2 linked regions of the Xenopus tropicalis genome follow. Each later gene encodes a partner of the first gene's protein in a complex. Links are inferred from orthologs where the notes say so. Each region holds a gene or a part of one and is shown on either strand. Other genes may lie near its edges. The genes, in order: sympk and ssu72.

What was found.
Region 2: the proteins of sympk (region 1) and ssu72 are in contact, whole or in part, in a crystal structure (PDB 4H3K), measured with the Homo sapiens proteins. The link is inferred for Xenopus tropicalis from reciprocal best matches to the Homo sapiens genes SYMPK and SSU72. Residues at the interface, in NP_004810.2 of Homo sapiens: Val123, Lys127, Leu131, Gln135, Asp175, Asn176, Asp177, Gly178, Thr181, His182, Lys185, Glu188, Pro204, Arg205, Arg206, Gln207, Ser250, Ile251, Thr254, Thr255, Asn262, Ala290, Ser292, Gln293, Ser295, Ser296, Lys299, Asn300, Leu303, His304; in NP_054907.1 of Homo sapiens: Glu113, Tyr116, Asp117, Val120, Asn124, Glu127, Gln128, Glu129, Thr130, Cys131, Gln132, Pro133, His135, Asp167, Glu169, Asn170, Asp173, Gln177, Glu180, Thr186, Phe187, Leu188, His189, Thr190, Val191, Phe193.

Annotation. Positions count from the first base shown.
Region 1 is NC_030684.2:70,988,386-70,992,207, forward strand, and holds part of sympk (symplekin), read left to right. Parts: intron 1-159; coding exon 160-409; intron 410-492; coding exon 493-663; intron 664-834; coding exon 835-1,077; intron 1,078-1,230; coding exon 1,231-1,376; intron 1,377-2,979; coding exon 2,980-3,130; intron 3,131-3,308; coding exon 3,309-3,528; intron 3,529-3,814; coding exon 3,815-3,822. UniProt on the Homo sapiens protein: Scaffold protein that functions as a component of a multimolecular complex involved in histone mRNA 3'-end processing. Specific component of the tight junction (TJ) plaque, but might not be an exclusively junctional component. May have a house-keeping rule.
Region 2 is NC_030683.2:92,446,124-92,449,945, reverse strand, and holds part of ssu72 (RNA polymerase II subunit A C-terminal domain phosphatase SSU72), read right to left. Parts: intron 489-3,822; coding exon 349-488; intron 1-348. UniProt on the Homo sapiens protein: Protein phosphatase that catalyzes the dephosphorylation of the C-terminal domain of RNA polymerase II. Plays a role in RNA processing and termination. Plays a role in pre-mRNA polyadenylation via its interaction with SYMPK.

The sequences.
Region 1 (3,822 bases):
TGCTCAGAGAATTGGCTTGTGTTCATATTTATATTTTCATCATAAGTTGTCAACTTTGGACTAACATTTTTGGAAGTCTCTTTGTTTCTTGCATCTTTGTCACAGTGTAATTTCTATATCTCCTTGCTTCCTTTTCTTATTGACTGATCTTTCCTGCAGTGGGTTGCTCGCTCCCGCCCTCCATCTGAGCAACAAGAATCCTGCTGGGACCTTGTAACTGAGATGGCTGCAGACATCCTCCTCTTGTTGGAATCGGATAATGATGGCATCCGCACTCATGCAGTAAAGTTTGTAGAAAGTTTGATTGTCACCTTGTCTCCTCGTACCCCTGACAGTGAAGTTCCAAAAAGACAAGAAGGGGACATCAGCCTAGAGCAGATCCCTTCTGACCATGCATTCCTTAAATATAGTGAGTTTATCAATAACTTTTGTCTCTTATGACCCTTTAGCATATATTTTTCTCCTACATTCTCCTTGCCCTTTATTCTTCAGATACACTGCGAGATGTAGGAAAACAGGCTGTGAAGGAACTTCTAAAGTTTATGGCTCACCCTGCTATCTCCAGCATCAACCTTACAGCAGCCCTTGGATCTTTAGCATCGATTGCTCGACAGAGGCCGATGTTTATGGCAGAAGTTATCCAGGCTTATGAGACCCTGCATGGTACGGAAAAACATTGCATGCCCTATTCTAGACTTTAAATTCTCTAATCCCTAAATATTTAAGGCAACTTTATAAAAGTAGTGCTTCCTAGTAATACTGTGACCATGTGTAATATCTGAATCATCATACTTTTAATTTGCCATCCTGTAACCTCTCTCCTCACCTCTACAGCCAACCTACCCCCTACACTAGCAAAGTCCCAAGTGAGCAGTGTGCGTAAAAATCTCAAACTGCAGCTATTGAGTGTACTGCGTCATTCATCATCTTATGAGTACCAGGGGCCTATAAGTACTCTCCTGTTAGACTTGGGTACTAGCCAGGGAGAGATAACCAGACATCTTCCTCCGCCAAGGGACAGCAACCGGAAAAGGGCCAGGGAAGATGGTGAAGGGGGACAAAAGAAGAGCCGCACTGGTAAGATTAATGTTATTGTCAAAACAATACAGTAAAAATAAGTGTTTTTTGTTAGAACAATACAGTGGTGTTAAAAATTGCTTAGGGCAAACAGGTACAAAGCATAAAGATCGACTTTATCCAACATATCACAAGTCTCTCCTTTATATGCAGACATTCCACTGCCTGATGACGATGATGATAAAGACACAATACAGCTTCCCACCATTCCTGCTCCTGCACCAAGCACGCAGTCGGCTACAGACATCACAGCTGAATTCCTGCGCCCACTGCTTTCCCCAGAGAATGTGGCAAACCTGGTTAGTGTAACATTTAAAGTCATTGTGTATTAGATTCCAAGGATGTAGCGATCAGGGATTCAAATGCTCTTGCATGGTTGCATTTACTGGACAAAATAATCTTTTAGGGTGAAAGTACACAGAGCTACTTAGTAGCAGCTATTGTCAGGGCTTCTAAACACCAGAAAATATCCTGCCATAGACAATACTGAGAATTGCCTCTGCTAAAAAACACGTAGAGACCAGTCAGTAAATGATCTGCATTGTCTATTTTTGTACAAGCTGCTACTAGTAGCTCTGTGTGTCTTTATCCTTATATTCTAACTTACAATATAGAGTTTATCTATACAGATATTAAGGTTGTTTTCCCTAAGTATTAAGTGAAGAAAAAAGTACAGTACATTTTTTTTAGTTTAAGTGCCATTTAGAAAACTGTGCAAGCTTCTCTAGATTTCCAACAGTATATTAACATGCATTAAGTATATGTTTTAGATTTGTAATGTAAAGCTTGCCTTGTTACTCAAAGCTTGTTTTTCTCTCATATATATCTTCTACACCGTGGTTTGTTAAGACATACAATACTGAATCTTCAGTTAAAGGGAAAATGGGTTAACTTGCAGTCAATTTTCCTATATATTTATTCAGCAGCAGATAAGGCTGATGGCCTGATGGATCTCTGCTACTGCGGGCAACCCCTCTGAAAGCCTATACGTTGCTTTGGCTTTCCGAAGTTTCCTTCTGCAGACATTTTTGCACGACTTAAGAATGCCGAATCAATGCGTGGGCCTTTCAACCGGCGACTCCTATTGTTGCCGGTGAAAAGGCATTTTTGAACGGTTATTTGTCCGCATTAGCAGCGATTGATTGCGGGAGACTAACTGGCTCGGTGGGCCATCAGCTTTAAGGTTCACACATTTTGTTTACGAGGAAGACATCTATAATTATTGATGCTCACCTTTGGGCTGCTATCAGTGCATTGATTCTCCCCCCCATTTGATCTGTCAAAGCTGTGAGTAGCTCAGTGCAGTAGAGCATAATTTATTTTTTATTTTAACTTTGTACATAATTAAACAACAGAAAGTAGTTTTATCCAATATTTGTTCATCAGAAAAATATTTAAAAAAAATTAAAGAATGAAAAAGAATATTGATAACAGGTATCCAGTGAAGTCTTTTATTGTATTGGTAATATCAATATAAACTTTCCTGCTTTTAAAGTTTTTCTAAAACCCTGCTTGTAGAGGTAGAGAATATGGCCTCTGTCTGCACACTTTTGTTATCTGAAATTTGTTTCTCCTGTACTCTAATGAATGATGGCTTTTACAGACCTCATTCTGGTCCTCGGTATCCTTGTGAACAAACTTTAAAGGAATGCTGTCATGGGAAAACATGTTTATTTTAAAAATGCATCAGTTTATAGAGCTTCTCCTTGCACATAGCGCTCAGGCCAAATTTAACTAAGGACCCCACAGTGTTATTGACCTATTGTGCCAGCTGAAAGCACAGGGCATCAGAATTGCATTAAATAGAAATTTCTTTGTTAACTTTATATAAATGGTTACCTTTTTTAGACTTAAGTTGGAAATGTTGTTGAACTCTTTTTCCTACCTATTTATTGTGCTTAGGTGCTCATCAGTATGGTGTATCTACCGGATTCCATGCCTGCCTCCTTCCAGGCCACTTACACTCCAGTTGAGTCAGCTGGGACTGACGCCCAGATTCGCCATCTTGCTAGACTCATGGCTACACAAATGACATCAGTTGGCATTGGTCCAGGTACATTGTAGTTAATAAAAGTTAATATGGCACAAATCATATTGATAGAAAAACATGTTTAAAAGTGCTAACTGAAAATTTAAGAAAATGTAAAAGTTAAGAAGATTTAAGAAAAACTGTTTTTTTTTTACCTTGCATCACATATCTATCTCTGAAATTTTCTGAAACACAACACCAGGGGTTGAGCAGACAAAAGATGTTCCAGTGGATGTAGTGGAGGAAGAGAACACCAAGCCTGAGGGGTTGGTGATCAAACGCCGGATTTCTGCACTTACCAAGGGACAGGCTATATCTGTTTTGGGATGTCAGAGTGAGAAGGCTAAAGAAGAAGAGGAGGAGGAAGATGCTCCACTTGCCAAGAAGCGGCCTGAACCTATACTACCAGCAACTCAGATCAGGTAAAAGCTTACAAACTTTTGTAGCTTAATGTAATATATAATCTTAATAGTAATGAAGTGCTAATTTGACTTCAGCATGTGGAAACTAGAGAGCTGTGAGTGGATCCACACACCACCCTAACACACACATTTGCCCTCTTGTACTTGCAAACATACATTTAACCTGCTACCTTTGTCACCCATTGCCTGACCCAAAATACATATTTGTCCTTTATGTGTTTTATAATTCTTAACACACCTTTACTTAGCATGCAGCTCACAACACTGTCATTCTCATTTATTCTAGGCCTTCTG
Region 2 (3,822 bases), on another chromosome or scaffold:
CGTAGAGACAATTATCAGTATTATCTATTTTGTAGCCCCAGCAAGTTGCTGGCTACATGCAGCTGTGTGTGTCATTGCCCTAAATTTGGGCTATCCCTACTTTAGCATTAAAAATCTAAACATTTGTTCTGTGAATAAAAACTCACAAGGTTTGCCTTTTAGCTAATAAATGAATAACAAATAGTTGATAGAATAAGAAAAGTAGAAGATGAGTTATCTACATTAGAGGATTACATTGGAGGACTTGCTTACTAGCTCTTACCAACAGATTCCCATCTTGACTGGCGTGCCAATATCTGCTTACATTGCATGTGCAGTTTATGAGATACAACCCGGATTGATACGCACCTTCTACTACTTGATCGTAGACCCTTTCCTCACAGGTAATCACTAGATCAAAGTTGTCCTTGCAGTTCTGAAATCTCTCAGGTCGTGGTTTGATCCTTCTATTTCTGTCCAGCATGTGCAAAATACCATTTTGTGTATATCTGGATTGATTTATGTTAAGGAATTTTGGAACTCGCATTGAATCTATTACAGCAGAACATATATTACAGGCCTTGGCGTACATTTTGTCTACACCACAAAGTACCACTAAACAGAATATATCCTTCTCTTTCCCACCCACAGATTACATATCAATACTGAATCTGACAGCTCTTCTCTCTGAGTTGCTGTTACTATTATATTGGGTATGGGGTAAAGACCCAGTAGGCTGGAGACACTGGTAACATTTGTTCTCCATCCTTTTGGGTCTTTGTTCCACCTCTAACCAGACATCTGCAGCCATGTTGGATTTTGATGCAGATTAGGAAATGGTAGCTATCAGTTGCTGTTGGTAGTATTTAAAAAAAAAAAAAAAAAAAAAAAAGTTTGTGACAGCGACACAATCCTGCAAAAACTTAGATAACAACAACATTAATAAAATGTCCGTTCAACCAGCAGCCACAGACCTAGAGGGCATGGTAAGGACTTGTGACAATCCCAACCTTCCCACTAGCATCCCACAAACCCCGTTAACCTTTCCCACATGGGTCCAAAGTTATATCTCTTCAATTAAACTCATGCAATTCTATTATATAAGAAACTGAATAGGCACAATACACTAAGGAGCACATTCATCAAAGCAAGAGTTTGAATCCTGAAATGGGTAAAATTCGGATTAGATACGATAATTTCTGATCATCGCAAATATCACGAAAACGCTTACGAGAAAATCATATTAGCCCTATAATATCGTATTGGTGATACGAAAGTCACAAAATTTTCATATCCAAACGATCATAAACGGCAGGAAAACCTTTCTGACTTTGATCCTTCTGTGCAAGTTTTTGGAAGCCTCCCATAGGACTCAATGGCACTCTGCAGCTCCAACCTGGCCCAAGGAAAGTCTCCCATAGGGCTCAATGGCACTCTGCAGCTCCAACCTGGCCCAAGGAAAGTCTCCCATAGGGCTCAATGGCACTCTGCAGCTCCAACCTGGCCCAAGGAAAGTCTCCCATAGGGCTCAATGGCACTCTGCAGCTCCAACCTGGCCCAAGGAAAGTCTCCCATAGGGCTCAATGGCACTCTGCAGCTCCAACCTGGCCCAAGGAAAGCCTCCCATAGGGCTCAATGGCACTCTGCAGCTCCAACCTGGCCCAAGGAAAGTCTCCCATAGGGCTCAATGGCACTCTGCAGCTCCAACCTGGCCCAAGGAAAGTCTCCCATAGGGCTCAATGGCACTCTGCAGCTCCAACCTGGCCCAAGGAAAGTCTCCCATAGGGCTCAATGGCACTCTGCAGCTCCAACCTGGCCCAAGGAAAGCCTCCCATAGGGCTCAATGGCACTCTGCAGCTCCAACCCGGCCCAAGGAAAGTCTCCCATAGGACTCAATGGCACTCTGCAGCTCCAACCTGGCCCAAGGAAAGTCACAATAACGAAGCTTGAATGAATCTGTAACTTTCGTACTCGGCGCAACAATACAATTTTGTCGCACAAATTTTGACGCAAAGTACGAAAAAGTCGCACAAAGTACGAAAAAGACGCGCAAATGTACAAAAAAGATGTGCAAATGTACAAAAAGGTTGCAGAAAATATGCACAGTACAAAAAAATGTGTTTTTTTTGTATTTGGGACCTGTCCAGGAATACATATTGCTACCCCATGGATATATAAAGAACAGGGTAAACAGACATCATTTCCATCAATCATCTATGCAGCCAAAGAACATAGATTACCGAACACAAGTCATTTTATTTGCCACTACTACCCCTAAGAAGCCTGTTTTCCCTTTCCTAAAATAAGAGCAGCCACACAAATAATATTATAAATCACTGGCTATGGCTTACTTTCAGCTATATGGAAGTAACCTGTTGCTCATCCTGAAGACTAAAAAGACTAAGGGTGAAGACACACAGAGCTACTAGTATCAGCTACTTGTCATGGCTACTAAAAAAAGACAATGCTGATCATTTACTTGTAATTGTCTCTATGTCTGTTTTAGCAGTGGCAATTCTCAGTATTGTCTATATGGCAGGGGATTTTCTGGAGTTTTGTAGCCTTGAAAAAGTAGCTGCTACTAGTAGCCCAGTGTGTCTTCGCCCTAATAAAGGTCATTAAATAAATAAAGCCAATTATTATTTGAGTACAATAAAGGATCCAAGGTACAGCAAGGAATAATTTGTTACAAATGAAAAGCATTCACTACAGTGGAAATAAAGAGGTGTAATGTCAAGCCAGAATCATCATTATAGCCTGTGCCACGGACATGTATGGGAGTAAAGATATGTGGCTGCATTGTTCTGCTACCACTAACACTACCATGAAGAGAGCTAGCCCCATGGGCCGAACTGTTGCATACTAAAGAAGTGGCCATACACAGGGTGACCAAAGCTGTTGTTCCTATTACATATGGGAAGTGAATAGCAGCTGCATTCCTTTAGTTCCTAATCGACGGGTGACGGATGCCAGCAGCCAAAAATCTATTGCTCTGTAAATGGGATTTTTTTTTTTAGGAGTTTGGAATTCATTCCCAGAATTCCTTTTGTTTACTTGTATCTGTATGAGGCAGTCTCCTCAACCTTAATGATTTGTCTGTGAGGTTACAATTATTTTTACTTTTTGTTACTTATCTTTCTATTTAGGCCCTCCTCCAGCCATGTTTCTGTCTTTCTTTCAAACTATTGCCTGGTTGCTAAGCAGATACCTGCTGAAATTCCAGACTGGAGAGTTGTTCATAGGATAAACCCATGTAAATGGAATTTTTTTCCCAGAATTAATTTTGTTTGCTTTTGTCTGTATGAGGCAGTCTCCTCAACCTTATTTATTTGTTTGTAGAACCACATGGTGACTCTACCTAAGCTGATCAGAAAACCCTGCACTACACTGATGAGCCTCAAAGAAAGGTGAAACCAGTCTGTAGTTGGGAATCTGATCAGCTATTATCCTGGCTTCAGCTTTAAACCCAGTGGGTGAGCTGTAGCCTATAGGATAAACCCATGTTAATGGGATTTTTTTAAGAGTTTTGGAATTCATTCCCAGAATTCCTTTTGTTTGAACAAAAAGTGAAATAATTAAAACAAAAATATAAAAAATAAAAACCAATTGCAAATAGTATGATGAACATAGAGTAATATTCTGAGACCAACAGTTAACTCAAAGGTGAACAACCCCTTTAAGCATAGACACATTCTTTCAGCAGACCAATAAGTTCTAGTTTCAATTGCCAAGAAGAAAATGTTTGAAGGAGAAGATGCTAATGGAAAAGTAATACAACTATAAAAAGGAAGCAGGCACTCGCCAGCAGTCAAGCAAGCAACAGGTGGGCAGAGTTGGTTTAGT